Daphnia pulex: one gene and its partners. The protein of the gene in region 7 purifies or fractionates together with the protein of the main gene of each other region. This does not show direct contact. Links are inferred from orthologs where the notes say so. Each region holds a gene or a part of one and is shown on either strand. Other genes may lie near its edges.

Evidence for each region.
Region 1: the proteins of armadillo segment polarity protein-like (region 7) and E3 ubiquitin-protein ligase UBR5-like purify together in Homo sapiens (affinity purification with western blotting; 3 studies listed by BioGRID and IntAct, with this or other methods). This does not show direct contact. The link is inferred for Daphnia pulex from reciprocal best matches to the Homo sapiens genes CTNNB1 and UBR5.
Region 2: the proteins of armadillo segment polarity protein-like (region 7) and histone deacetylase 6-like purify together in Homo sapiens (co-immunoprecipitation; 3 studies listed by BioGRID and IntAct, with this or other methods). This does not show direct contact. The link is inferred for Daphnia pulex from reciprocal best matches to the Homo sapiens genes CTNNB1 and HDAC6.
Region 3: the proteins of armadillo segment polarity protein-like (region 7) and S-phase kinase-associated protein 1-like purify together in Homo sapiens (affinity purification with western blotting; 3 studies listed by BioGRID, with this or other methods). This does not show direct contact. The link is inferred for Daphnia pulex from reciprocal best matches to the Homo sapiens genes CTNNB1 and SKP1.
Region 4: the proteins of armadillo segment polarity protein-like (region 7) and transformation/transcription domain-associated protein-like purify together in Homo sapiens (affinity purification with mass spectrometry; 3 studies listed by BioGRID, with this or other methods). This does not show direct contact. The link is inferred for Daphnia pulex from reciprocal best matches to the Homo sapiens genes CTNNB1 and TRRAP.
Region 5: the proteins of armadillo segment polarity protein-like (region 7) and calcyclin-binding protein-like purify together in Homo sapiens (affinity purification with western blotting; 4 studies listed by BioGRID, with this or other methods). This does not show direct contact. The link is inferred for Daphnia pulex from reciprocal best matches to the Homo sapiens genes CTNNB1 and CACYBP.
Region 6: the proteins of armadillo segment polarity protein-like (region 7) and paxillin-like purify together in Homo sapiens (affinity purification with western blotting; 3 studies listed by BioGRID and IntAct, with this or other methods). This does not show direct contact. The link is inferred for Daphnia pulex from reciprocal best matches to the Homo sapiens genes CTNNB1 and PXN.

What each region holds. Positions count from the first base shown.
Region 1 is NC_060021.1:11,107,460-11,111,659, reverse strand, and holds part of E3 ubiquitin-protein ligase UBR5-like, read left to right. Parts: coding exon 1-1,503; intron 1,504-1,568; coding exon 1,569-2,764; intron 2,765-2,839; coding exon 2,840-3,633; intron 3,634-3,707; coding exon 3,708-4,095; intron 4,096-4,174; coding exon 4,175-4,200. UniProt on the Homo sapiens protein: E3 ubiquitin-protein ligase involved in different protein quality control pathways in the cytoplasm and nucleus. Mainly acts as a ubiquitin chain elongator that extends pre-ubiquitinated substrates.
Region 2 is NC_060025.1:1,310,735-1,315,465, reverse strand, and holds the start of histone deacetylase 6-like, read right to left. Parts: upstream 3,098-4,731; 5' UTR 3,015-3,097; coding exon 2,916-3,014; intron 2,829-2,915; coding exon 2,698-2,828; intron 2,624-2,697; coding exon 2,342-2,623; intron 2,277-2,341; coding exon 2,103-2,276; intron 2,031-2,102; coding exon 1,838-2,030; intron 1,725-1,837; coding exon of another isoform or gene 1,665-1,724; intron 1,597-1,664; coding exon 1,537-1,596; intron 1,435-1,536; coding exon 1,345-1,434; intron 1,272-1,344; coding exon 1,165-1,271; intron 1,108-1,164; coding exon 863-1,107; intron 799-862; coding exon 717-798; intron 646-716; coding exon 217-645; intron 162-216; coding exon 1-161. Other genes in the region: speckle-type POZ protein-like, read left to right, coding at 4,058-4,731.
Region 3 is NC_060019.1:12,033,805-12,037,730, reverse strand, and holds S-phase kinase-associated protein 1-like, read left to right. Parts: upstream 1-1,462; 5' UTR 1,463-1,489; coding exon 1,490-1,620; intron 1,621-1,869; coding exon 1,870-2,000; intron 2,001-2,147; coding exon 2,148-2,356; intron 2,357-2,456; coding exon 2,457-2,633; 3' UTR 2,634-2,726; downstream 2,727-3,926. Other genes in the region: heat shock protein 90-2-like, read right to left, coding at 1-160, 228-235; GATOR complex protein WDR59-like, read left to right, coding at 3,455-3,465, 3,752-3,815, 3,895-3,926. UniProt on the Homo sapiens protein: Essential component of the SCF (SKP1-CUL1-F-box protein) ubiquitin ligase complex, which mediates the ubiquitination of proteins involved in cell cycle progression, signal transduction and transcription.
Region 4 is NC_060018.1:6,515,908-6,520,010, reverse strand, and holds the end of transformation/transcription domain-associated protein-like, read left to right. Parts: coding exon 1-1,124; intron 1,125-1,208; coding exon 1,209-1,586; intron 1,587-1,686; coding exon 1,687-1,780; intron 1,781-1,996; coding exon 1,997-2,416; intron 2,417-2,477; coding exon 2,478-3,167; 3' UTR 3,168-3,283; downstream 3,284-4,103. UniProt on the Homo sapiens protein: Adapter protein, which is found in various multiprotein chromatin complexes with histone acetyltransferase activity (HAT), which gives a specific tag for epigenetic transcription activation.
Region 5 is NC_060023.1:1,465,579-1,469,535, forward strand, and holds calcyclin-binding protein-like, read left to right. Parts: upstream 1-1,508; 5' UTR 1,509-1,817; coding exon 1,818-1,838; intron 1,839-1,954; coding exon 1,955-2,162; intron 2,163-2,231; coding exon 2,232-2,328; intron 2,329-2,388; coding exon 2,389-2,498; intron 2,499-2,563; coding exon 2,564-2,808; 3' UTR 2,809-2,876; downstream 2,877-3,957. Other genes in the region: protein SMG7-like, read right to left, coding at 1-1,089, 1,311-1,336; probable ATP-dependent RNA helicase spindle-E, read right to left, coding at 3,070-3,363, 3,434-3,676, 3,737-3,957. UniProt on the Homo sapiens protein: May be involved in calcium-dependent ubiquitination and subsequent proteasomal degradation of target proteins. Probably serves as a molecular bridge in ubiquitin E3 complexes. Participates in the ubiquitin-mediated degradation of beta-catenin (CTNNB1).
Region 6 is NC_060022.1:1,457,531-1,461,730, reverse strand, and holds the end of paxillin-like, read right to left. Parts: coding exon 4,067-4,200; intron 3,650-4,066; coding exon 3,419-3,649; intron 3,277-3,418; coding exon of another isoform or gene 3,163-3,276; exon of another isoform or gene 2,651-3,162; intron 1,375-2,650; coding exon 1,254-1,374; intron 1,054-1,253; coding exon 908-1,053; 3' UTR 3-907; downstream 1-2. UniProt on the Homo sapiens protein: Cytoskeletal protein involved in actin-membrane attachment at sites of cell adhesion to the extracellular matrix (focal adhesion). Recruits other proteins such as TRIM15 to focal adhesion.
Region 7 is NC_060020.1:4,719,673-4,722,841, forward strand, and holds the end of armadillo segment polarity protein-like, read right to left. Parts: intron 3,126-3,169; coding exon 2,955-3,125; intron 2,896-2,954; coding exon 2,745-2,895; intron 2,683-2,744; coding exon 2,531-2,682; intron 2,214-2,530; coding exon 2,117-2,213; intron 1,986-2,116; coding exon 1,717-1,985; 3' UTR 1,201-1,716; downstream 1-1,200. UniProt on the Homo sapiens protein: Key downstream component of the canonical Wnt signaling pathway.

The DNA of each region.
Region 1 (4,200 bases), on a different chromosome or scaffold from region 7:
CGGGCTCATCCATCCGGATCCCTGATTGTTTCCAAAGACTCCCGCGACGAGTGACGTTGGCCGATCCCGGACAGATTTTAGCCTTCTCAGTAGACGGACAAGGTATTCACACGGTCAACAAAGTTGGCTCTCAGCTCAAGTACACAATCTACAATCTGAGCACGGGAAAAGCCGAGTATGAATCGAATATACCAACGGACTATACCTCGTTCATGGGCCTCAACGTCGGACGAAACATTGGACTCTTCAATACAGGAGATGGTGACGCCTTGACTCTGCTCCGTGATGGAAATGGCACAATCTACCCTTTGTCACGTGACTGTCTCGATTCTATTCGTGATCCGCATTTGCTGGATTTGCCACCAATGCGCTGCCTGGGTTTCGGTTCCCATTCTCTGCAAGGGGTTGGTCCTGGACAGAAGACTCAAGCCATATTACTCGTACTCGTCACCGAAAATCAATTATTAATGCCCAAGTTGCTGGCCTGCGATATCGATGGCGTTCGCCACGTCATGAACTGCTTAGAAACGTCTTCAGAAGCCTATCGCCTTTCCGGCGTCCAGAGTATCGTCAACGAACGCTGTGATGGTGGTCGAAACGTAATCCACGCCTGCGTATCCATGTGCTCACCAACTTCAAACAAAGATGCGGACGTTCAAGACGAGCGAAATGTAGCACCCGTCGCCAACTCCATCGCTGATCCTCTAGATCCCCTTCCGGTGGGTTTGAGCACTTCCTCCCGGGCTGTAAGTCTCAGAGAGATGATGAGGCGTGCTGCTGTTGCTCGACCATCGGAAAGTTCCACAGCCGATTCGGGAGTTCCCAGTAGTAGTTCCGTAGTCGAAGAAAACATTTCTATTCCGACGCTCAATTGGCCACCGGAACCGATGTCTTTGGAATCGTCCAATCACGGCGATGACGATCAAGCTGGCTCGAGCAGTGCCGGCGCATGTGGCTCCTCCAAAATGGCGGCTGCTGCCGTTTCCGACCCTGTTGAACGACGTGCCAATTCCTTGGCCGCGTTGAAGGCCATCACCGAGAGTCCAGCTCTGACCCCTCATCTACAGACACTCCTTTCCGCGCGTGACGCTCAAGGTCACACACCGTTCATGCAAGCGGTTGCCGTTCGTGCCTACCCCGCAGCATTACTTTTGCTAGATGTGGCCACTAGATTATTTCGACAGATTACAACGGAAGTGGACGCTCAGAAAAAGCTGTTGCAGAGTTTCATTTTTCCATTGGGCAAGAATGGCTGCAGCCCGGATGACTCACCGCTCCATGTTCTCTGTAGCAACGACACGTGCAGCTTCACTTGGACCGGAGCCGAACACATTAATCAGGATATCTTTGAATGCCGAACATGCGGCCTTACGGGATCCCTTTGCTGTTGTACCGAGTGCGCCCGCGTATGTCACAAGGGTCACGATTGCAAGCTCAAGCGCACATCGCCCACCGCTTATTGTGACTGCTGGGAAAAGTGTAAATGCAAGGCTTTGGTTGCCGGTAATTCATTTCAATGTTATTTCTACTAAAGTCTTTGATTATTAACTCTATATCTTGATTTGTAGGCAATCAAAAACTTCGATTCGAATTACTCTGCCGCTTGGTCCACGAGACGGATCTGGTGAACATACCCAATAGTAAAGGAGAGAACATACTGCTTTTCCTTGTACAGACAGTCGGTCGTCAGTCGGCTGAACAACGACAGTACAGACCCGCCCGTTCCCGATCAACTGGAATCGCCGCTTCGAGAAAAGTTTTAACATCTGAACTGGAACCAGATATGCCTGAACACGATCTAGAACCACCGAGATTCTCCCGAATGGCATTGGATAGACTTTTGAATGATTGGTCATCAGTTAAAGCCATGTTGCTCTCTGGCTACAAAGAGGAAACAGTTGCCGGTTCCAGTACCATCGCCGAAGATCAAGCATATCTTCAAAGCCAAAGTGGGACTACTTTATTGGACAAATTTACTCACTGCATGTTAGTCAAATGTTCGGTTGAAATGCTGGACAGCCTTTTGACTACGCTCATCGCTGAAATGGAGAACAAGACTTGGTGGTCGAGACAACAGGAAGCTCGTCTTGCTGCTAGGCGATTCGTGCGCTCGGTCGTCCGGGTCTTTGTCGTTTTTAGCGTTGAGATCGCTCCTCAGTCTGGAAAGAAGAAGAATAATGCTTCCAGTGCCAGTGTTACTTCACAGCCGTTGATGAAATGCAAGCGAGTATTCCAGGCTCTTATTAATCTGGCCATTGAAGAACTGTGCGAAGCAGCTGATGCCCTGATCGTACCCGTCCGGTTAGGTGTCGCCCGTCCAACTGTCCCATTTCCGTTGGTGACTTCCAACGCCGACGCCATTCATGGAAGCGAGGAACTCTTTTCCGTCGATCCCTTACAACCGCTAACACCCCGAGCAGCCGACGAAGAACACGCGGACGGCTCTTCTGTACCAACTGGATCGCTCGGTGCTGGTTCCAGCGCTGCAGGTGGTGGTCGTGCCACCACTCGCCGTATGGAGTCTGAAGAACTAGACACCATCGAAGGTGATGAAGGCGATGGAGAAGGTGACGGCGATGCTGAAGCGGACAATTCAGAACACGAAGATGCCGAAGGCAATGGTCGCGGCGGTGATGGAACTGGTCGACGAGAAAATGCTGGTGGTGAATCGGATATGGAGCTGGACCTCCTAGCAGAGACCGAAAGCGACTCGGATGACAACGAGCACGAACATGATAACGATAATCAGAGCACTCACACTCAGGTAGGTGTTTAAAAGTTGAGCAATGAACGGATTTTTTTCATTAAATTTTGTATTACTTTGTTTGAATATTTGTAGGACAACAATTCGGTCCAACGTAGTGTGCAGACAGGAGCTACAGCCGGTTCCGATGCGGCCATGGCATCCTTGGCGTTATTCTCTGATGATGAATCTGGCGATTCAACTGGTCAAGAAGAGGATGAATCGGACGGTGGTGAAACGGACGAACAAGATACGGAGGAATTTGCGTTCTCAGACGAACAACTGGAACGCCGCAATAATAACCCTTCGTCCGCCGTACCCGCCACTGCTGCTGCCCCTGTCCGTGGTACCTCTGGCATGGCTCCGCAATCGATGATGTGGGCCATTCGCCATCGAGAGAACAATGCCGTACGTGGCGCTGGCGCCAATGGGGCCGTCGGTAGTGGAAACGCTGTCGGTGGTTCAACCACCAATTTGATGTACTTAGAACCTACTTCTCTTCGCCGATCTGCGGCTGCTGCTGCAATTGCCGCCGCCACAGCTACACTTCCCGTGGTACCGGAACCCTTTTCCATGGCTACTACAGCAAGCGGATTAGCTCGGGCTTTTGGACTGGTCGTTCGTCAGATTGCAGACCTGCTCACGATGCTTTTGGATTATCCGGCACTTGCTCCCACCCTTTCGCGAAATTTGGACATCACCAACCAAGAGTCCATTCAGCTGCAACAATTTTTGGAATTCAGGTTGAAGCCAGTCTGGGATTGGCTGGTCAACGTCATGGACTCGACCGAAGCTCAGCTACGCTTTGGAGTAGCTTTATCCAACGCTTCTACACCGAACGGAACACCTTCAAACCATATTACTTTGTATGGAAGAACACCGCTGTCAAGGTATTGATTTTTTTTTATTTCCCCCCCCCCCCCGTTCCGATTTATGAGTATCTAATTCATTTTACTTTGGTTAGAATGGTTACTGCTAGTTCAGTTTTACCTTCCTCTCGAACGGCCGCATCTTCAAGTTCGGCAGCCTCTGCACTGGCTGGTTCGGGAGCTGCACCTGGAACTTACGACGGCCGTAGAGGACAGGCTGGTGGTGCTGGCGGAGAACGGGGCAACGAAGTGCCGGATCCCTTGACGGGAAGGCGCGAATTTTTGAATTACTGCCTTTCACTTATGCGGGCTCACAATGGCGAGCATTCCGACACCCTGCCCGTTATTGACGTCTCGTCATTGAAGCACATTGCCTATGTGTTCGATGCCCTTATTTATTACATGCGGTCGGGAAATGAATCCAACCCGTACGGTGATAATGGTAGTGGTGAAGAGTACATCGCTGACATGTTCAACGAACCGGTAAGATAACATTGAGTCTTAATGAATTCATTGTAGTTTTTTTTTCACATTTTCTAAAATTACAAAATGGGATTTATAGGACGAAAACGAAAATGCTGATATGGA
Region 2 (4,731 bases), on a different chromosome or scaffold from region 7:
CAGCTCCGGATCCGCTTCCTACTACGTTGCAATCAGATTCTTCCGGTTTGAAAGGGAAGATGTCGAAGCGATGCAAGGAAATGTACAATACGCGCGGATCCTCTTCAAACATCCGCTGGATTCCGTTGCCGTGGTGTACATCCCAATCGACGATAAGGATTCTAGATAAAATAAATCGTATTTAATCTAATAAACGAGTTTGAATTGCATCATTACCTTTCTAAATGATGAATCTCGATGGCATATTTGGCTGCCAGCGCCGTGTTGTTGAAGAAACAAAAGCCGTACGCTTCGTCGCATTCCGCGTGGTGCCCCGGTGGCCGGACGACTCCTATTCCACTACGACTCTCACCGCTCAAAATACTTTCAACAATTTGGAGAGACGAGCCGGCTGAGAGCAACGCAGCCTGATAGGTTTCCGGACAGATGAAGATGGATCCGTACTGCCGTTCCAATTGGTTGAGAGTCGATTGCTTTTTACCAGCGGTCGCCGCAATCTCATCGATGTAGTCGGCCTGATGCAACCACAGCAATTCTTCGCGATCGGCATCTCGAGCATCCAGCCGGTGGCAGCGCTCCAACACTCCGAATTCCATCAATTTCTGGTAGATTGAAGTGATTCTAGCAGGTCGCTCCGGATGTCCACTGCAAAAGATATCGTCAAACAATTCCATAAAAATAACAAAGAACTCGAAACAATTTAAAATTCAACTTACGGTTCGTTGATATTACGATGCAAAGCCATTCTTTCATCGTAGATGAAACAAACGCGATGCTTAGGCACTGCCAAGCTCGTTTCTAAAATAATAAACAATTACAGTTAATTAAATTGTTATTTAAAATTTGTAATCATTCATGTCACCTTTAATGAGCTTATCAAGGCGCTGATCCAAGAGGTCAATCGTCTCATTGCTCTGCACTGGGTAGCAGTTTCGAGTGGCAAACAATGTTTGTTTGACGTCAGATCCTTCAAAAGTGACACTGGGTACAAAGTGCTTTCCTTCCTTTTGACTACCCACTTTTGAAGCATCAAAACGGCCCTGGAACTGTAGACATTTCCACATAGGGCGAAGCACATAAATAGCGCTCAAAATACTTTCCTGAATACTACAATAAGAGAAATGATGCAGCCCGCATTATATTCGTCAAAAGAAATCGTTTTACCTTTGACAAGGCTCTTCGACTTTTGCAATGACTGGGCAAGGATCACCAAGCAATGTTCGCAAGGTCAGAGCAGCTCCTTCGGCTAAGGATTTCAAGCAGTACCCTCCCTAAAAATAAACACATAATTAATGACCAGCACTAGGGTTTGGTCAGAGTAATAGATGAGTCAGCGGATTATACTTCGAGAACGACAGCCAGTTTGCCTTGGGCCAGCCCCATGAGTGATGACGTCAAGTGGGAGTAGCACGCGGGAGTGATTTCCATTTCGCCCTAAATTTGACAAAAGGCGTTGACAATATTAGTCACCGCATATCTTCACAATTCCTTCAGAAAAAGGTAGAATATAAAATAAGAAGAGAACAAATGTTGGACCTTCTCGTCGCCTAGTGCCGAATCGAAACCAGAGGAGACGAGAACAAGATCAGGGCGGAACTATTGCCATGCAAATCACAAGAAAAGAAGAAAAACAAAAAGAATAAGTAGGAAGTCTTGTACACTACCTCGAAACAACCCAAGGCAGCGTCATAGCCGGCTGATACAATAATCAACTCTGGTTGAAACTGAACAAGATGAAGCGCGTTTTTAAATTACAAGCGTATTTAACCATAGTATTAATATGCATTGAACGATTTGAATAGATGAAATGAAACATGGTATCAAGATGAGTTATTACTTCATAAGCCAGAGGCAATAGCAGCTGGTGCCAAATGGCCAGATAGTCGGCGTTACCCATTTTCGTTTTATTCAGTGGCACGTTCACGTTAAAGCCTTTGCCAACTCCACTTCCAATGTAGTGAAAATCGCTTTCACGAAGATTGGGCCAAAAAGCTCCGTGCTCATAACGATGAACCGAGAAATATAAGACTCTGAATATTCAATAAAGGTAACCCTCACATAGAATTGATTCAGTGCATGTGATAAACTAGATGCCTTTTTACCTGGGGTCTTCGTAGAACATTTGTTGAGTTGCCTGGCCATGGTGAACATCCCAATCAACAATCAGAATTCTTTCAACACCCTTGTTATCTAATGCATGCTGGGCTGCAACTGCTACATTGTTGAAGAAACAATAGCCACAATATTCACTTTTCATTGCATGGTGCCCTGGCGGTCTAAATAAATCAGTTTTGAATTGAAACAAAAGAGAGGAGTAAAATTTGCAAAGTATGTATATTACCTGATTACAGCCATTCCATTTTGTATCTTTCCATCCAGTATGGCATCAACCATCTCAACTGTTGATCCAGCTGCCAACAATGCTAGCTCATTTGTTGATGGATGAATGTAAATGGCATCATAACCTGAGCTGATAGCTTCTAATGCTTCAGCATCTGGACTGCCATCTGTTCCTTTGAGCAATTCAATTCTGTCTGGTGTGTGAAGTTTCAACAGCTCATCTTGAGTTGCCTTTCTAGGTTGAATTTCTACACAGCGTTGAGCCAACCCATATTCACGGCATCTGCAAGATTTTTTAACCATTATTTCACCATAAGCAGTTTAAATTTCAGACTAGGTATATAACTGATAACTGACCTTTCCAAAACCCGAGTGAATCTCTCTGGACATTCAGGGTAATTGGGATCCCAAAGACACTGGTGTTCAACCATCCGTTCATCATAAACAATTCCTGTTTGGCCACGTATCTTATCTTTAGAATCCCGAGTCTACAAGAACAGAGTGATACATTCATCAACATCTAGCTTCAACATTATCCAAATTAAACAACGTTTAACAGTCTTAACCGTCCTTACATTTTGCAAGTGATCCACAAACACATTTAATTTTTCATTTTTTTTATTCGATGGTGAGCGACCTTTCACGAAATTCGAAAACTTTGTTTGTTTACTCATTTCGACTTGTCTTGTGGGACTGCTAAATTCTTGACTGCAGCCGCTGACAGAACTCAAGTGCAAGTCAACAAACAAGCTCTTGAGTGAGACATCTGGTGAGCGTCGGTTAAAACAAGCTCACACTTATTATACCGATGCACGAACGAAGTTTGAATTGCCTATCGAAATATGAATATACGAGGTAATTCTAAACTACTGCGTTATTTATTTATAACGGTTTCTTATTAAATCAAATTATTAAATTCCAATTTCCAAAGAAACGGGGTTTACCGTTGAAATGTGATTTATGCTATTAAAATTGATTACAACCCCTTTAAGTAAGACTGTGTCAAGTTACACTCATTCACGACCGATATAAAGCTTAATTTTTAATCAGTTCAGATGATTAAATAATTAAGTCAAATCAAACAACATACCGAGTACTCTCCTAGCAGACGAACGGCATGCGTTTGTGGAACGACATCTGAACGACATCCATTTTCGAAGACGAAACAGAACAAACTGAACAAATCATCGCACAATTTCTTCTCTAGAGTTCGTCAAATTAAATAAACGAGACCAAACATAATAGAGAGGAGGACGTTTTTATTTGTCAAGAAAACTTAAGTTATATGTGTGTGGTTAGTCACAGCTTTCTCAGTTTTCAGGCTTTTTTACGGGTTTATGAAAGATGACGCCATATTCAATGATTAACAACATAATCTTTATGGTTGAAAAGTTAATCCCTTTCGTCGGTGGTATTTAGTTGCAATCAATTGGTCAAATTACAATTTCTCTTAGCAACATAAAGTTTTATTCCCTCGGGTTCTCTTCGGCTCTATGAAATTCTATCCCCTCCCACTCTTTCTCACACCCTTTCAAGTTTCGTTTTCTATTCGTTTTCAGCCCCTTACCCTTCACCCTTCAGTCTGCAATTTTGCTGATGCTGGGGTCTGGGAAGTGGGAAGTGACTCAACACTCAAGTGAGAGCTGGCATTCGCATTTCATCTTTGTTGAGAATAACACGTGTTTGTAACAGTCGCCATTTTTCTACGTACTGAGCCATGCAGTCGTCAGCGGACAATGTCTGTCTCTCTGAATTACAAATTTCAAAACTTGATTTAGAATGGAATGTTCAAGTGCCATGTCTAGAAACTGTTGCGGCGTGGATGGAACCTCTGGAATCAACGTTATTTTCAGCTAGAGAAACTCCTGATCGTCTGTGGAAGCTAGTACTGTCTGATGCGGGTACAACATTAACTGTACAACTATTTCTTACAACTCCCGGATTCGCTAACTTCAAGAGCGTCACGGCTGTCGACCCTTTTCGCATGAAATTATCAATCCTAAACGGGAAACGACAGAAAGTTCTCCAGCAAGTATACGGTGTTCAAAAGAATGGCTATTGTAGCATCCATCTGAATTTTCTCAAAGATGCAATCCTAAAATCTGAGTGTCAGCAATTGAACGGAAGTCTCGTCTTCCACTGCGAGATTGAATCGTACGCGAAAAAAGAACCTGTCGCAGGTAAAGCTAATCTAATCCAAGACCAGTCAATTAGTTGCAGTGATCAGCTGATTGACCACTTTGAATATTTGTTCGAAAACATCAAGTACGCTGACGTCACTCTAAACGTCGGTGCTCAAAAATTTCAAGCACACAAAAGTATTTTGGCGTCAAGAAGCAAAGTCTTTGCTGCCATGTTCGAACATCCGACCAAGGAGAAACTGTCCAATCA
Region 3 (3,926 bases), on a different chromosome or scaffold from region 7:
CTTGTCGGCAACCAGGTAAGCAGAGTAGGAACCCACACCAAACTGACCAACCATGGAGATGTCAGCTCCGGCAGAGAGGGCTTCCATGAAAGCTTTAGTTCCGGACTTGGCAATAGTACCCAAGTTGTTAACCAAATCAGCCTTGATCATGCCGATACCACTAAAGAGAAACAGAACAGTCAAATTCGTGTTCAAATAGGAGGAACTTTTCAAATTTCTCAACTTACATATCCATGAGAGTGAGTCATTCTTGTTGGGGACAATCTTGATTTTAAGATCCTTGCCGCTATCCAACTTGCTTGGGTCAGTCAGGGATTCATAATGGATCTTGTCTAGGGCATCTGAGCAGTTGGAGATCAACTATAGAAGGTGTTGATAATCAAGCTCATAAGCTGAGCAATCTTGGCCTGGAATGTCATAGTCTCAGCTTCATCTTCCATTTGATCTTCTCCAGGCATCTAAAAAGGGAAAGGAAAATATTTCAGTAAGAAATGTTTGTCAATTGTGGTAGATTGCACTCACAAATTGAAATTCTACATACTATCTATGGACTTGAGGCATACCAAAAAATGTGTAAAAAACCAATTTGTTTGTCTAAACCAGTAGTAAAACTGGTAAAACTTACTTTGCTTTTAAACGTAAACAAACAAACCCGACGCTTTTCTGTTCACGTTTGGTGGGGATCTACATGTATACAAGGCCGCCGGGCAGTCGTAAAAACTGCCACCAAATTCGCTTCTTGTTAGGCCTGCAAACTATAGCTTTGGGTTGACACACATCAAGCCGGGAAAGTGAGCCCGTTCGACTTTGAATCGCTGTGTAAAAAATACAGCTATTAGTATATCTTCATGTGATCCATTTTGAAGACCTTTCTTTGTTTAATCTCTTTCATACAAAAATTTTCATGATAAGTAACACATTTACGTAAATTTTGTATTAATGTTTAGTGTCGTTTTGAATTTGCAGTTTGAATTGCAGCGGTGGCGTTTCGAAACTGAGCCCCGTTTGACTTAGAATCGCTGTTTTAAAAAATGAATATATTATATCTTCGTAAAATGTGATCCATTTTAAAGAGATTTCTTTTTTAAATCTAATGCCTACAAAAATTTGCGTGATTGGTGTCACAATTACGTAAATTTAAGTGTCTAATTACTGCAATTGAATTTTGCAGTTTGAATTGCAGCGGTGGCGTGTCGAAACTGAGCCTCCTTCGACTGTGACTAGAATCCCTACGGGAAACTGCGCATGGCGCCATGGCTTGGAAAAAATATTTTGGGGATTTGGCCATCTCGAATTGTGCAAAACCGGAGAGAGAAAAAAATCAGTTAATTGGTTTTATATATTGCCATTTGCCAACAAAAAGAAATGTAGAATACACAGAAGTCAAAACTCAAAAATCTCGAAAACTGGAAAAGAACACGTTTTTCATAAAAACCGCTTTAACATGACTGTTGGTATACTTTCGCCCCTTCCCCTCCGAGTGTATACTATGCGATGCGAAAGTTGCAGTGATGTTTTCCATCACAGAGCGAAACAGGGAGGAGAGGAGGGTTCATTTTTACTGAACATTTTTCAGACCAGCACCAGCGCCATTTGCTCTAGAGCAACCTTTATAGAAAAGTACGTAATTTGCTTAATTTTTTGTTGAACTCCAAGCTTAATTTTCTCAACATTATTACAATACGGACTAGAGAGTTAGAAACTCGAAAATGTACCCATAATGTTTGAGATAATTCCCATAATGATGTGATTTTCTTGACTGTTATTTTTGTTTGGAATGTGTGTGCTGGTTCTCCTGAGGGCTTGATCCATTCATTGTTCTTTGCTGCTGGACTTTTGGTTATCAAAAAGTTTTTTTGTGTATTTCAGTTTTCAGAGAACAAACACAATTCACACAATGCCAAACATCAAGCTGCAGAGTTCCGATGGAGAAACATTTGAGGTTGATGTCGAAATTGCCAAGTGTTCAGTAACAATCAAAACAATGCTTGAGGATCTAGGTAATATTTTTCAATAAGCTTAATGTTAATGTAACAAATAAAATCAAAAGTTGCACCACAAAGATATTTATAGGCAAATGCGTCATTATTTTCTTTTCAAATGCTTAAAAAAGGTAACGTTCAATTGAAATTCAATTTTGGTTTTAGGAATGGATGAAGATGACGAAGAAGTTGTTCCTTTACCCAATGTCAATTCTGCTATTCTACGTAAAGTAATTCAGTGGGCAACTTACCACAAAGATGACCCCCCACCACCAGAGGATGATGACAATAAGGAAAAACGTACTGATGATATCTCATCATGGGATGCTGATTTCCTCAAAGTAGATCAAGGAACTCTGTTTGAACTCATCTTGGTAAGTGTTCATTTTCTGATATCACACCTATGAAAACATTCTACAATTGTTTTAAGTTAAAAATGTTAGTGAAATGTAATGTACATATTTTTGTTTTTAGGCTGCCAATTATCTGGATATTAAAGGCTTGCTGGATGTTACTTGCAAGACTGTTGCAAACATGATCAAGGGGAAAACCCCAGAAGAGATTCGCAAGACCTTCAACATCAAGAACGATTTCACCCCTAGTGAGGAAGAGCAAGTACGCAAGGAGAACGAGTGGTGCGAAGAAAAGTAAATTATCTCGACGAAATTTTGTTTTCACATGTTACATGTACCTTTGTATCCAACTTCATGTTTTCAAGCCAAGAATACAATAAATTAAAAAGCAGTTTTAAGTGTATAGTCAAACAAAAGAACAAGTTGTACGAAGTTCCGTAGTGCACTGGTGAATTAACTGTATGTTTTAAAACAGCTCGTGCTTTAGACAACCTCCCGTTTTGCCAATTATAATGTACAAGTTTTGGTTTTTTTGTGTGTGTGTGTGTGTGTGTGTGTCAGTGTGTTGAACACTGCATTATTTTTAGATTTTGTTTCGTTAGATGGTCTCCTGAAAATGAGCATATCAAGAAAAAGATAAAGGGACTCGCGGATTATATCCGGGCTTAGCTACTAGAAATGCTTTGCAAGTTAGACACCATCATTGGTTTTCATAGGTAGATGATAGGCATGATACCTTGACGGCTTGACCATTAATTTTATAATTTTCCCTGCATACGTTTTGTATGCATAATATGTAGTGTTTCTTATAATGTGCATAGATTGCATTTTCTTCGTAGAAATAATTGTTCACGGGAAGTCGGAAGAAAATGTTCACTGGTGCGTGCTGATGGTTGCCGAAAGTCTATTTAAAAATTAACTATAGATTTTAACTTAAAATGATCAGTAGTATTATTATGTAAGGGTCATGAGATGATGAGACATTGATTGAATCACCACTCCGGAATGCGGAAGCATTCTCAATAAGTTCCTTTGAATCGAATCGAATCGATTTGAATTCGAAAAAAAAAAAAAAAAAATCCTTGAATCGTCTGCTACTTGCTTGCGCGTTACGCCCTCATGAATTTTCGGTTCGTCTGTTCTGTTTATATTTTCTTCTTTCAACTTTTTCTATTTCTACTCCTCAATTTAAAAAAAGTAATCAAATAATTAGATTTAATGAAGTTTGTAAATTTAATACTAATTATAATGGAAAAATGGTGTTCTCAAATGGGAATTTTATTCAATAATATAGGCTAAGTCACCTAACTGAGATTTTCTCTACTCTGTCTTTGAAATGACATTATCTTTGTGTTTGTGTTTCAATTTCTGAGCTTTCAGTTTACTTGTTTTTTAATGTCTTCAATTTTTTCTTAGGGAGAAGAAAATGGCAGCCAAATGGAGTAATGAATATGTAGTTGCTGAACATAAGGATCTACAGGTAATAATACTGTTTTAATTTTGTTTTTTTTTACTTTACAAACAAAAATAAATAATAACAAGTGGGTTCTTTCATTTAGGCAAGCACAATGGCTCTTGATAGTTCTGGACA
Region 4 (4,103 bases), on a different chromosome or scaffold from region 7:
TTACCGGTCATCGCTGACGACTTGAGTCATTGGAGCGATGTATTCACGTGGAGGCAACATCACTATCAGTTCATCGTGTCCCATTATGATCAGCAAAGCGATCAACAGGCCAGCGCTCAATCTATGCTTGGAGTTCACGCCTCTGCCCAGGCTATCATTCATTTCGGCAAAGTGGCTCGAAAGCATAATTTAACGGGTGTGTGCCTTGATTCGTTAGCTAGGATCTACAGTATTCCCAGCGTTCCGATTGTCGATTGTTTCCAAAAAATCAGACAACAAGTCAAATGCTACCTTCAAGCTGCCAACGTATTGGGGAAAAATGAACTACAAGAAGGACTCGAAGTCATAGAATCAACGAATTTGAAATACTTTGCCAAAGAAATGACGGCGGAGCTCTACGCATTAAAAGGAATGTTATTAGCTCAGATTGGCAGAGCAGACGATGCTAACAAAGCTTTTTCAGCCGCTGTACAAATGCATGACACGCTCGTTAAAGCTTGGGCCTTATGGGGTGACCATTTGGAACAAGTTTTCACCAAAGACTCTCGCAACATCGGGATCGGAGTTTCTGCAATTACGTGTTTCTTACATGCGTGTCGTCACCAAAACGAATCCAAATCAAGGAAATATCTGGCCAAGGTGCTTTGGCTTTTGACGTACGACGATGACAAGCTTTCATTAGCTGAATCCTTGGACAAATATTGTGTTGGAGTTCCGCCAGTGCAATGGTTACCTTGGATTCCTCAACTTCTGGTGTGCCTTGTTCGTGATGAAGGGAAGTTAGTGCTCAACTTGTTGAGTCAAGTTGGTCGGATGTTTCCACAAGCAGTGTACTTTCCCATCCGCACTTTATACCTGACGCTGAAAATCGAGCAGAGAGAGCGCTATAAATCTGCGGAATTGGCTGCTAATCAAGCTTCCACCGAGACTAGTGCTAATGTCACCAATGGCGCACCTCAAAGCAGCACTCCAGCTGCTGGGATGGAAGGAGCTGGCCCCATCAAGGCTACCGAACCTATGTGGCGTTGCTCACGGATCATGCACATGCAGAGAGACTTGCATCCCACTGTTTTGTCTTCTCTTGAAGGCATCGTCGATCAAATGGTTTGGTTCAGAGAAAATTGGTAAGAACATCATCTAATTAAATATTCTTAGATTAAATTTCAAAATTTGAAATTGACATTTTTTTGTTTTGCTTGCCTTAATAGGTATGAAGAAGTACTACGTCAGTTGCGACAAGGTCTCGCAAAATGTTATGCCATCGCTTTCGAAAATCGAGGATCCGTTGCCGAAGCCACAATCACTCCGCACACGCTGAGCTTCGTGAAAAAACTGGTGGCGACTTTTGGAATAGGCATTGAAAACATTGCCAATTCTGCAAGTGGTTCTTTTAGCAGTGCTGCATCCGAAAGTTTAGCACGTCGAGCTCAAGCCACAGCTCAGGATCCAGTGTTTCAACGAATGAAAACTCAGTTTTCAACTGATTTCGACTTCACTTTGCCCGGCGCCATGAAGCTTCACAATCTTATTCACAAATTGAAAAAGTGGATCAAGATTTTGGAAGCCAAAACTAAACTATTGCCCAGGTATGAAATTATACTTTTCGGAAATTACATTCATTATATTTTGCCATGAAAAAGTTTCCTCAGCCTAATTTATATATTCCAATTTGTGTGATTTATTTAGGTCTTTCCTTATCGAAGAAAAATGTCGGTTCCTCAGCAACTTTAATCTACAAACAGCGGAAGTAGAACTTCCCGGAGAATTTTTGCTTCCCAAGGTAAACAAAATTTCTTCTCACTTTATGAAACCCAATAAGAAATGTCCGCCAAAAATGATGAAAAACTTATTAACAAGGACTGCTCCCATATTGGTCGAGCTATTCGATGACGGTTGCTGATAAGATCTGATTTGGTTTTCGTTACTTCGATCGATTTCCTGTGTTATCATTCTATTTTTATATAAATTCTGAATTTACTACGCTTTCCCGTTTTAGCACACGCATTACTATGTCCGGATAGCCCGTTTCTTGCCGCGCGTGGAAATCGTTCAAAAGCATAACACGGCAGCCAGGCGTCTCTACATTCGAGGACACAATGGAAAGATCTACCCATACTTGGTTGTGAACGATGCAGGTCTCGGCGACGCTAGAAGAGAGGAACGTGTTTTGCAACTGCTTAGAATGTTAAACAACTACTTGAACAAGCATAAGGAAACGTCAAAGAGATTCCTGAACTTCACTGTACCTCGTGTTGTGGCTGTTTCTCCACAAATGAGACTAGTAGAAGACAACCCATCCAGTGCTACGTTACTCGATATTTACAGGCTACGTTGTGTTAAACGAAACATTGAACATGATATGCCCATCGCTAAATACTATGAAAGATTAGCCACCATTCAAGCAAGAGGAAGTCAGGTAAGCAGTCTCCCTTATTCTATTTTGATGGTCAAATTTTCAAACTTTTCTTTGTAAATAGGCTAGCCACCAAGTTTTACGAGATATTCACAAAGACGTACAGCAGATTATGGTTCCACGAACTCTGTTGCGTGAATGGGCCAACGTCACGTTCCCGTCAGCCACATTTTATTGGACATTCCGAAAAATGCTGACGCTGCAAATGGCTCTGGTCAATCTTGCCGAATACGTGCTACACCTCACACGACTCAATGCAGATATGCTGTACATTCATCAAGATTCGGGCCTTCTAAGTGTATCATACTTTAAGTTTGATGTTGAAGACTCAAACGGAGAACTCGATGCCAACAGACCTGTGCCTTTCCGTCTAACGCCAAACATGGTTGAGTTTTTGACAATGATTGGAGTGGCCGGTCCTCTTACCGCAAGTATGATTGCTGCGGCTCGTTGCTTGGTTCAACCGAGTGTCAAAGTCGCTGCTATTCTGAAAGCAGTTTTGCGAGATGAGATGATAGCATGGCACAAGAAGAAAACTGCCGACGAGAAGGAAAAGGACACTGGTGGAAGTGGTCAGGTGGAGGGAGAAATTTTGATTGGTTTGGTAAATAAAGCCGTTAATGCGATAATAAATAGGCTACAAGGGTTATCAACCTTTGATGGAAATGAGTCTAAAGTCAGCACTTTGGTCGCCGCTGCCAATAGTAATGACAATTTGTGCCGGATGGATCCAGCTTGGCATCCGTGGTTGTAATGTGCGAATGTTTCTATTGTGTTTAGTATACTGAAAAAAAAAAACTGTAATTCGACTTCTACGTAAGTAGAAAAACTCGGTTGATTAATAATACACTTGTCAATTATTTTACGTGACTATTCTTATTTATTACCAAATTGCATCTTGTTTATTAGTTATTACCAAAAATCAGAATATTACGATTGCAAAAAACTGGGTATTTTAGACCTTCCAACCCTCGAAAAGTCTTTTATTCTAATTCCAATTATATTTTATAAAAACTTTAACCTACTTATAATTTCTTAGAAGGGCTTTTTGCCTTTTTATCAGCGGTTAGTCGTGATCAATGATTTCACGTCTCCCCAGAGCAATAGATACCTGGTCGGTTCTCGGCCGTGTTGGCTTCCCTATCCCGGTTTTAGGGTAAACGTATCCCCGATTTTCAGACATTTTAGGGCGGAGCTTGTCAGAAGTTGTGAAGTGGTAAAAATGAAACAGCGCCATCTAGTGATAAGACGTTGACTTTCAAATAATACTTTCGGCGGCCATTTTTGTGTAATATGTGAATACGGCGGCCATTATCGTGTATTACGTGAATGAAGCCTAACCATAATTTCTGTAAAAATGGTTGGCAGGTGTGCTGTTCCTGGTTGTAAATCAACATATTTCAAAGGAAATCAAAAAGAAAACGAGGTTACCCTGTTTGCAATTCCTAAAACTTCATTATCTAAATGGCGAGAACTAATTCCATGTAGTTATTTGACGAGCACCTCACGTATTTGCTCCCGTCATTTTGACGAAAGTGACTTCAAATCAGGGATTTAAATTTTGAACGTGTTCCATCCTTTCAAACGTAGGAATCGTAATGCTGGAGCAATTCCCAAACATTTTCTGATAAATGGTATTGATATTACATTTCCTGTATAATCTGTAAAGCACAGAAACTGAACCATTTTC
Region 5 (3,957 bases), on a different chromosome or scaffold from region 7:
AGCTGGCCGCGTTTGATTTTCGTGAGCACTTGTGGCTGAGAGTGGAACCAATCGAGGACAAGTTTGATCACGCACAAGTACCTGGAGTTGGGAAGCTGTTGGTCGGGCAGTGAACAACAGGCTGTTAAGCAAGCATTGAAAACAGATGAAGCGACATCGATAGCCAACTGAAGTGATCTCTTTTGGGCGTCGGTGGCCGAGGCTGCACTACACTCGCCCACCGAATAGAGAGTGATGGTCAGCATGCGGATCAATTGTGCTGGAGTCAGGGCTTCCGTGGCCACTAGCGATGGCCAAGTCAATGTCAAAAGATTTACCGTTTGCTCCGCTTGATCCAGATCGACACCTAGTCCAATTTGTCCCTGCAGCTTGAGAAAAGCGAGAAGAAACTCTTCGGCGCTCAGTCGACCTCCGCGAGTTTTCTGGTAATTTGATACTTGCACAGATTGTTTCTTCAGGAGTTTATCGAGATTGATTCTAGCAGGTGGAAACGGATGTTTGAGGGCCAAGCTGCGGACGTAGTAAAACAGCGTGGACAGCATATCCCCCCGTGCTGATACAAGCAGTGCCAATTGGTTGTAAGGATGTCCACTTGAAGGTTCAACATTGATGGCCTGATTGTAGTATCCTTCGGCTTCAGTCAAAAGATTTCTGTATCTAGCCAAATCTCCCAAATGGATCAAGCAGTGCTGGCAGATGTAAAGGACTGACTCATTCTTGGGCTGGAGAGCATAGGAGGGGCCATTGAAGATTCCTAATTGGGCATTTCTCTTGCAGATGGATGAGCTTGTGTCGCACTGGGCACAAATTTCTTGCAGCAGAAACATGTAGAATCCAGCTGCTCCTTCCAAAAACAGTTTGAGGATGGGATTGCTACTTTTCTTCCCTTGTTTTGGTTGCAGCCCCGAGATGGGAACTTTAAAACACACATTCCACAAATCTTGCTCAACTTTCTTGTCAAGTGCATAGTCCAAATTTGACAAAATAATGTCTTTGTACAGGTTGCGTAAAACATAGAGGAAGCTGCAGTGAGAGTCATTTGTCACATCAATGACATCTGGCATAGTTGATCTGGTGTCTCCCGCTTCCCTGAGAAAAAGTAAACAACACAAACATGGTAAGTAAAACCAAAAAACATTTAATGTGACATGATAAAGTTTATCATTCAAAAACAATGTCAAGTATAGTATAGGAACATTTTTAGTTAGTTATTTGCTTTTCCAATGTAACAAGGACGAGTACTCCCACCCACTGTAACAGTTTCCAAAACCTTGCTTAAATACTCCCACGTGTTTATACGGCAATCTTACCTCCATAATTCTTCAGCCGTTCTCATTTTTAAGAAGTGGTATTGTAGGGATTGTATAATTCCCGAAATTACAATCGGGAGCAGTACTCTCTTTCACTTGCACACTCATTAAAAAAAATCTGTAATTCATTCATTCATTCAACAAATTCGTCTGCTTCTGTCTAGCCATCTAGTAGCCAAAACACGAAGCTTTTGTATTTAAAAAGCATGAATTTGAAAGAAGATTGTTCGAGAACATGCTTGGAGAGATTACGAATTTAAAAAAAGCTGCGGTTGATATTTCACACCGATCCCACCGTTGAATTATATTTTGTAACACAACACCTTGGAAATAGAACCGCAGTTCGCCATAGGCAGCACTTGGTTCAATTCATAATTGCCGTTTTTTTACAGTCAAGCAGAAGACGTCGAATTGACAAAAATTTAATCATTCCCTTGTGGTTGCAACTTGCACATTTCGTTTTGTCAAATCACTCTTACGTTGGTTTTCTTTGAGTACAGTTGCAAAATGCCTAGACCTATTGATGAAGTACGTAACATTTATTTTTTCCTAATTTTTTTGTGTTTAAAAACTTGTGTTTCATAAGATTTTCTTGATGATTGACGTGTACATGATACTAGTGTCTCGTTTGTTGAAACTTTCAGCTTCGTGCAGATGTTGATGAGCTGAAGAAATTGACAGACTTGGCCACGCGCCAATCTGTGAGAGATGTTTTGGGCATCGAAACACGCCGTTTAGAAACTGAAATCAGTCTTCAACTCAAAGACAACATGTTCAATCTTGAGGCAAAACCAGCTGCCGCAGCTGGAGCTTCTGCTGTCAGATGTTACGATGTCAAACTTACAAACTATGGTAATCTTTTATAAAATTTTATGCTGAAGAAAAGTTGATGATTTAATGTTGTGTAATTTATCTCTTTAGCTTGGGATCAGTCTGACAAATTCTTCAAGCTATTCATCACTCTGGCAGATGTCCAAACTCTTCCTGCTGAAAATGTAGTTTGCACCTTTGGTTCCAGGTACAATGATAGTTAAAAACATTTGCATTAATTCAATGACTAAACTGTATGATTTTATAGATCCCTTGACCTCTCAGTTAAGGAACTAAAGGGTAAAAATTATTCTCTGGTCATCAAAAATTTAGCTGAAGTTATTGATGCATCAAAGAGCCACTGGAAAGTAAAAACAGGTAAAAAAAATACTACACTAAAGTATAGTGACATGTGTATTAATCCTGTCCCCCTTGTTTTCCAGATTCTGTGGTAGTCTTTCTATCAAAAGTTAAACCAATCACTTGGCCCACTGTTACTATGGAAGAAAAGAAAATCAAAGAATCTAAAGCCCCCAAATTTGACGCATCAGCCAGCGACGATCCACAGGCGAGCATGATGAACATGATGAAGCAACTCTACCAGGACGGCGATGATGACATGAAGCGACAAATTGCAAAATCTTTTGCAGAAGGTCGAGGAGGTAAAACCCCTGATTTAGGGCTTTGAAAACTTAATTAAATACTTAAAGTATTTGTCAATTCTTTAACGAACAATATACAAGAAACGTTATCGAATTCTTTGTATTTTTCAAAACAATTAGCATTCATCGACTGTTTCACAAACAGGACACGATGTAGGAACAACAAATCAAAGCAATAATACCGACATATCTTAATTTTGGTTCTGGATTGAAACAATTGGTTTTACCAATACTCCAAACAAGTTTTTCAATAAGAATGCTTCATTTCAGATTAGACTGCAATCCCTTCAGGGGTTAAGCTTGATACAGTCGTGGAGTGGAATCAGAGTATCCAGTTGACTTTCAGCGACATCCGACTGTAGAAGGTTTTCGGGTTTGATGAGATTCCATTTATAGCTGGTCGAGGGTTCGAACTTGACGTCACCACGCGGTTTGGTGATGAGCTCAAACAAAAATCCAAGCGTTTTCTGACTGACTTCTCTCATGCGCTCCTGGGATGGCGCTGCGTGGTGCTGACTGAATGACGGTGCGCCCATAACGGAATTCAACCAAAATCTAATTTTGTTGATGAGAAGCACATCCTAAAGGGAGATACAATAAAAAACTGTGTAAATATTTCGTGAAATAGAAAACAACAGTATAAACACTAACCGTAAGACCAATCTCCGAGTCAAATGTAAGTTCCATATCATGTTCAGGATAGAAGGATTGCTGCTTCACTTGATCGTAACCCAACCCACAAATGGCACCCGTAAGGCGTTTAATCTCCTTGTCCGCCCGGAATTCAGCTCTCGGGGCAAAAAGAAGCGTCAGAATGGCCGGTAAACCGGGGATATTTGGAAGCAGAGTGGTGCTGCGAGCCTGGACATGGCGACCGTTTTGTTGAGATCCGACCTGTAAAGAAGAAGAATTTAAAAATAAAATGTAAAACATAGTGATTCAAGGTATCCTTACGTGAGCAGCAACGAGAACGCGCTCGTGATGATCTCCAGGTTGATCTTCCAGTATAACTGAGTTGACGGAATCATCTTCTATCTTGACCAGGCTACCCAAAAGGGATTGCACTTTGCCGAACATCTTCATCTCCAACGGATTAACAGGGCCAACGAGTTTGACAACAGAAGTTTCATTGCGACTGTAATGTCTTGGCTCGTCAACTTCAAGTTCCATTGCCA
Region 6 (4,200 bases), on a different chromosome or scaffold from region 7:
AATTGAATTAAAATTTTTTTATACACACACAAACAAACAAGTACACAGAAAATTGGTTGTTGTTTTAATGACGACGGACGAACACGATAGCGAACCCAAAAGATTCTTAATTAATACAAATAATTAAATTGAAAGAGACGGAGGAGGGAAATAGAAAAAAGTTGAACCAATATTCGATCCTATCAAATTTATTGATGCGTGTGTGCGCCATCATCAGCAATAGCTGATGCCATACCATTTTCGTTTTCCACTTCGATTTTCTATTTGACTTTTTTTATTGTATAAGTTTTACTATTTAAAAAAAAAACATCATTAGTTTTGCGTAGTTTTTTGTGCGTCTCGGCGGTGAATCAAGCGTTAGGAGCGGGAGGGAGGTTTAAAACTTCATTTCCTTTTTTGTTTTCCTCACCACTTGGTTTATCCAATGACAACTAAACAAACTAGAGAAACCACTTTGAAAGATGAGCCGATAGAGGCAAAAGACGTTGGCTGGAAAACCCCCCCAAAAAATGGTTAACCGATTAACCAGGAAAAAAATTGGTTTCATGGGATGTCGCCCTAAGAATATTTATGGTAGAAATCGAATAAAGATTTATACTGTAATGTAGTAGTGTAAGTATATAGAAAATGTGTCTGCGTGTCATTTTCTTTTCCTTTTTTTATGCGCTGGTTTCCTTCATGGGGGGCGTGGGCGGGCGGGGATTACATTGAAAAATAGAATTCGATGTGGATTGAGTGGGGGGGGGGGGTTATCTTTTCACATGTGTTATTACATTGTAAACGTGGAGTCCGTCGTCAGTTGTACTTCCCCACCCAATCATTAAAAAAAAGAAGAAATGAATCATTTTTCAAAATCATTATTGTTTGTTGTTGTTGTTTCATTCCCTTCCGGAATTGTTTTGGTTTTTCATCCGAATAGGCGCTCGAAACATCCGTGGCAGTACGGCTTGTCTCCTTGCTCTTTGAACGTGCCCTTCTTCAACTGTTTCAGGCAATAGGAGCAGACAAAGTGTTCCGGGTGAAACTTCTTGAACATGGCCGTGATGCACCGACCTGATTTTGTTTTGTTTTTCGCGTGATAACAAAAGAACAATAACAAACAAATTCATTCACATCGTATACAGCAGTTACAGTATAATGGGTGAATAGAGAAAATGAGGTTAAACGGTTGTTGTTTTTTCACGCAAGTGTTATGGGGGGGGGAGGGGGATGTCTATTAAAGAGAAAATAAAGAAGAAGAAGAAAATCGTTACCGGTAATCGGCTTATGGCATCCGGCGCAGAGCGAACCTCTCTTGGCGTGGTAATGGATCTCACAGTAGGGCATACCCTCGTGAACGAAGAACGATCCGCCCTGGAACAGCATGTTGCAATCCTGCAAGTTGGAATGGTGGGGAAAAAAAAAAAAAAATAACAATTTAATAATCGCATTAGCAAAAGATCCATATTTGCTTAATTACTAAGTGAGGGGGGGGGGGTAATTGTTGTTTTTAATTAGACACCCTTAACGTCACCCGTACGCCGTTTGTTGTTGGAAAAGAAATGCCTTTCATTGAGTCGCTTTTAAAAATAAAATGTTAATAACGACTACAAGGGAAATGGCGAAGGAGGAGCTAGCAGAAAAGAGGGTCAAGAGCCCGAGACTAAGTGATTGTTTGACAGCCAACTACTGGTCGTAGTTAGTAAAGCCTCTCCAAAGAGCCCAAAAATAGGCGAAAATAAAAAGAAGAAAAGTCCGCGCCATTCTGCGGCGAATTTTCAAAAACCCGAAAAAAAAATATAACTTTTTTTTTTCGTACGTGTCTTTTATGTTCTGAGAATAGAAAAAAGGAGAGTCGAGAGAAAGGATGTCTTTATTTATACGCTTTCGCCAGCCTATAGATAGTATCCCTCTTCTTCTACTTCGCTAGAGCGGCACCGGAGAAATCTCTTATGACACGCCATGCGTCATCCGGTCGTTTACAGTTCCTCGAAAGCTGGCTTCAAAAAATTTTTTTTCTGCTGGTAAAGATCGACCGAGGGAGGAGGGCACAGCTGTGCAAAGCGCTTTATTCAAACCCCCGGGTCCAAAAGCTTTAAAAAGCGATGACAACAATCAAATGGACAAGACTAGCGCGCAAAAAAGAAGCCAAAATACAAAAATAACGAATTCTAATTTTGAAAGAAGAAGAAGCTCAAAGGTAAGCAACTTCATCCCGGCTCGGAGCTTGTCTCCGCCCTCCCACGACTTGACTGATTTATTCAACCCGGCTCTACACACACAAAAAGAAGAAGAAACCCATTGCGTGAACCGAACCATGGGGAGTTCACGAGAATGACGAACTTGCCTTTTACTTTGCAGCGCTCATTTTGCGTAACGATGTGAACTCATCCGCATCGTTAAAATAAACCCACCCAACGGGTGTGTGTGTTGTATATAGAAAAGAAATGTGACTGAACTAAACGAACTGTACTGCTACTACTACCCCGCCAAACCAGTCCAACTATACCATCCATCCAATAGTGCATGAGCCTCCCCGCCACCGAAGAGTCGTTAATCTTTTGTTTCTTTTTTGTTTTATTCTCTGACTATATGTACCAAACTGGAAAAAGTAGCAGCAGTAGAGTAGTAGTATGATTTGCTCGTTCGAGTGGAACTCTTTTTTCAGGTATTTTTGGTTTTTGGTTTAACTTGTTTTCTTTCATTGTCATTTTGTGCGAAAAAGATTCATCATCGCCAACATACATAACAAGACACAACACACAAAATGGAGAGAGAGAATAGAGAGCGAAAGGGGGATAGAAAGAAGAAAAAAAGTCAGAAGAAACAGCCAAAAAATGAGCCAATAATAAATTTGTTTTAAATAAGAGGAGGCACTTGGGCATGTCGCGCGGTGGGTGTGTTGTTATTTTTCAGGACTAGAACATCATCATCATTTTTTTGGTTTGTCAGGTTTCTTATTTTGTAAAATAAAAACTCGGGACTGTTTTTTCTGGTGGGAGTGGCCAAAACTACTTCAAGAGGAGCGAGAGAGAGAGAGAGAAAAGTGTGCGAAAGGAGAAGTGAGATAAGAAGCGCCGTGTGTTTTTTTGGGTTTGTGTTTTTCTTCTTCCTTGAAAATTTTCAAACACATTTTGGTTTGTTTTTGTTTTGTTTTTTTGTTTTGGGGTCACGGGGGTCACTTCATTGGCTGTCGTCGTCGTCTTCGGCATCGGAACCGACGCCCATACACTTGCCGCAAACTGGGCGCGAGTCGACCGTGTAAAAAGATCCGCCGTTGAGCGAAACGCGACAATCCTTCTCGGTCAAGAGATATATAAGAATGTCAACAACAACAACAACAACAGCGAAACGGACACACGTTACTAATAGGATTGTCTAGAAGAATAACCTACCTTCCAGGGGACAACATATCTGACGTCAATAAGGAAAAACTTACCCTGCAGACGAAACAATTGGGATGCCACTGGCCGTTGAGAGCCGAGATGTAGCCCTCGGTGATGGCCGTGGAACAGCCTTTGCACTTGAGGGCGAACATGGCCAGGTAGTCCTCCTTGCAGTATGGCTTGCCATCCTTCTCCTGGAATCCATCCTCGCCAAACTGGCAGCCGCATTGGGTGCAGAAAAAGTGATCCGGGTGCCACGTCTGATCCAACGCCGTCACGCATTTCTGTAATGGAACCAATTGGCGACGCGGGGGCGATAAAAGAAACACAACGTCCGAAAAAAAGAAAGTTAGTAGGAACATGTTAGGAAAAAGAAACAACAACAAAAAGAGGCTGCCAACAAGAACAAGTTTTCGGGTGATGAGGTGAACCAGACCAGCTGTCTGACACCGTCGTCCATCCATTCATCCGTTTCATCAGTCAGCCAACGTGCGTGACTCTTGTGATGGCTTCGCTCAGTTCGTTCGGGGCCACTTAAAAGTTCTATTTATACATTCTGGATAGTGAGAGAGAGAGAGAGAAGAGCTCTCCCGTCCAGGACCAACTGGACCCAACGCGTGTGTGAAATAGGGTCGGAATTTGCCAAATCAATTGGGCCCGCGGTGGGTGTTGAAACAACCAGGAAAAAGGCAACAACGTACATCTAGAATGGGTCCGTTGCAATAAGCGCAACGGGGCGAGAAGAGGTGGTGATAATCGGGTTCACAGTAAGGCTGGCCGTCGCGTTCGAAAAAGTTTTGCGTTCCCAACTCCTGGCGGCAGTGGGAGCAGACAA
Region 7 (3,169 bases):
GGGGGTAACGCCATAAGAGGACTCAAGACGTTCAGTCGTCTTGAGAGAAACAAAAACTTTTAGCCCCAGAGCATCACACAACTGTCACAAGTTTCCGTTTCCTCGGCGAACGTCAATATCTACAAAGAATATCCTCTTTACTCGGCCGGCCAAACTGCAATGCGTCCATCGTTTCCCTGACAAAGACGTATGTTCCTACGCTTTAGACTTTGAAACACAACCACTCTTCTTGTTTATAAATGGTTCTTTTTTCCTCTCTTCTTCTGCTTTGCACCCCAAAAAAAAAGAAAAAGAGAAGAAAGATAGAGAAGAGGGGGGGGGGGGGGGGTCTCGGAGCTCTCAGCATAAAGCCATCATCAGCGTCAACTGTCGCCGGCCAAGTCCAATAAATAAGGCGACACCACTCGATCGCTCGAGGGACTGCTGGAAGGTGGCGAGACGCTCTCTGCTGGAGACAGCACAAAAAGATGGGCATTCATCACTTCTAGAGTCTCTCTCGTCGATCCCTTCATGGATAGCCATTTTTCTTTCCTTTTCTCATCTCGCTCCATTCCGTCAACCCGCTCCTTTCTTACCAACCAGAAAGAGTTATAAGCACCGGCCGACGCAACGACAGGATGGGGAGGAACTGTTTCGTTTACAGCAAACTTTAACCCGTTGCCAGCCATCACTCTACCGGACTCCTCCCCTTCTTTTTCTCCCTTTCTATCAAAGCTATTTGCATACGTTTTACAAGCGTTCTATACTCGGCGCAAAACAGTCGGCATCCTGCACAAGCCTTTTCGCAGCAAGACGACGGACGGCAGGAGAAAAAAAAAGAAAAACCGAAGGAGCAAAGACGGGGTTGAGAGACGAATGGCTCCTTATCAGACGATTTGCGTCATCTGAGATTTACGACCCACGGCTGCCGCATTCAGCCATATTAAAAAGCATAACTGCGACTCTGGTATGCTGTATCCGTCGTCCGACCCGTCTGCTCCATGTCAACACCACCACTACTCTCGCCGCCGCCGACTCTAAAGCTCCAGTGGCGAAAATAAATTCTACCACCACCCCTGGAATTGAAGTGGGTGTCGGTCAAAGCCATCACATACAAAAACCCAACGAGATATTTGCTGTGTTGAGAGCAGTAGACATAATTAGAAATACACTTTAAACTTTTTTTAAGAGTTTAATGTCGAAAAAACGGAGAAAAAAACGAACAAATCGAATCAATAATAAGGGAGGCTCAAAGCTGCTCGCTAATGGTGGGAGGACATTCAAAGTATCCATCTAATTTTGGGTTTGAAAAATTGTTGATCGAAACGAGAAATAAAAATTGAGGAAATCTTACGCGCAAGGGATTGTCTGCTAAAAATCGCCTAAGTTCTGGAGGATAGGGGAGAGGAAGACGGATTCCTTGTCACATACACACGAAAAGTTACGAGATTGTAAGGTGAAATATGTGGAAGGGAGAAAATGCAAATCGATTATCGAGGAGGAAGAACACCACACGGTAACAGAGCTTGAGGAGAAGTGGGCAGGAGAAGGAATGAGGACAAGTACACATGTTACGTTTTGGAACATGCAGGTTATTCATTGAAAAATGGAGCAAGGACGACCTGCGATACTGTCAGTGCAATAAGGGGAGAGAGGAGCATCGTGGTGGATATGCAAGAAGGAGTTTTGTAGTGCTTAAATCTTTCGACTTTTGCTTTGCGTTTGGGTGCAACCACTTTAAAGGTCGGTATCATACCAAGCGGCCTGGGCATCGTGGGGCGGTTGGGGAGGTGTGGCCTGACCCATGTGGTTAAGAGGATCGAAATCCAAATCAGAACCCATGTGATCTACCGGGGCGTAGTTGTTGGATTGAATGGGAAGACCCATTGAATGCCCCATATTCATCCCCATGCCCATGGTCGGAGATGTGGCAGAAGGTGGTGGGCCGCCATGGTGTGAACCGAGCTCCAATCCTTGCATCGATTCTACGGGTAGGGCGTCATATCCTATTTGAAAATTTAAAAAAAAAACACCACAAAATTACAATATCCGAAGTCAAAGCGAATAAAAATCCTCAACTGACTGTCTTCATCAATCACGGATGTAAATATGTATACAGTAACCACTAAAATTGTACCTTGACGATAAGACCTGCCTCCATCTTGGTTGGAGTGGACACTGGGTGGGCCTTGCCCATAAGGACCTTCATAAGGCTGGTCAGGTGCAAGAATATCCTGCTTGCCGGCCGATCAAGTGAACAAAAAATGTAAATAAAATAAAAACGTTGGATTGGAACAAATAATAAAACAGCGGGTGATAAAAGACTGGCAAATGGAAAAGGCAATAAAAAAGCGTTTGGGGATGCATGCAAGTTTTCATGCAAAACAAAAAGGGAAAAAAAAAAAAAAGTCATTCCAGGAGGCATGCGAATTAGTGCCTCACCTTGGTTTAGTTGTCGGTTAGTTCGGATTAAACTTTTGGAAGACAGAATGGGTGGGATGATGTAAGTTAAAGATTAGTATAGGGTTATTAGGGGAGAATGCAATCAAACCTGAAGATCGGGAGGCATCAAAGGCAGATCTCCATTCCACAAATGATGGTCTTCGCGGAACAAGGAATTGGTCAGCTCCATAGATAGCCTCTTCTTATAATCTTGGGGCTTGTCTTCAGACATGCGGAAAAGTACAGCAGCCGCATACGTTGCTGTTCAAAGAAGTACACTTTTAAAAGTCTATATCTCTTTCACTGGCACAATAATAGCTTACCAACACCCTCATTGCGAGAATGAAGTAGTTCTGTCAGAGGAGCAGTTGCACCCTCCTGTTCGATCATGTCGGCTCCTTCCTTATCAGAGGCCAGCTCGCAGAGTACGCCGGCAGCAACACGTTGAATATTTTCTATCTCGTTGTACAACAACTGCAATGACATTAAAAGTTAATACATATTGATTGCAAGTTTGAAACACGTTTTCTTACCTGGACAAAAATAGGGATGACACTCAAGCCACGAATAACAGCCCGGTTATGGGACTCGCGAGCTAAAATATGGAGGGCGCCTACAGCACCTTCGACAATTTCTTCCATCCTTACTCCATCGGCGTAGGATCCTTGTGGCTGACCGCTGCCTGAGCTGACAACCGACGAGCGCTAAAAACAATCATATTATTTAGAAAATTATAAAATGTGAAACC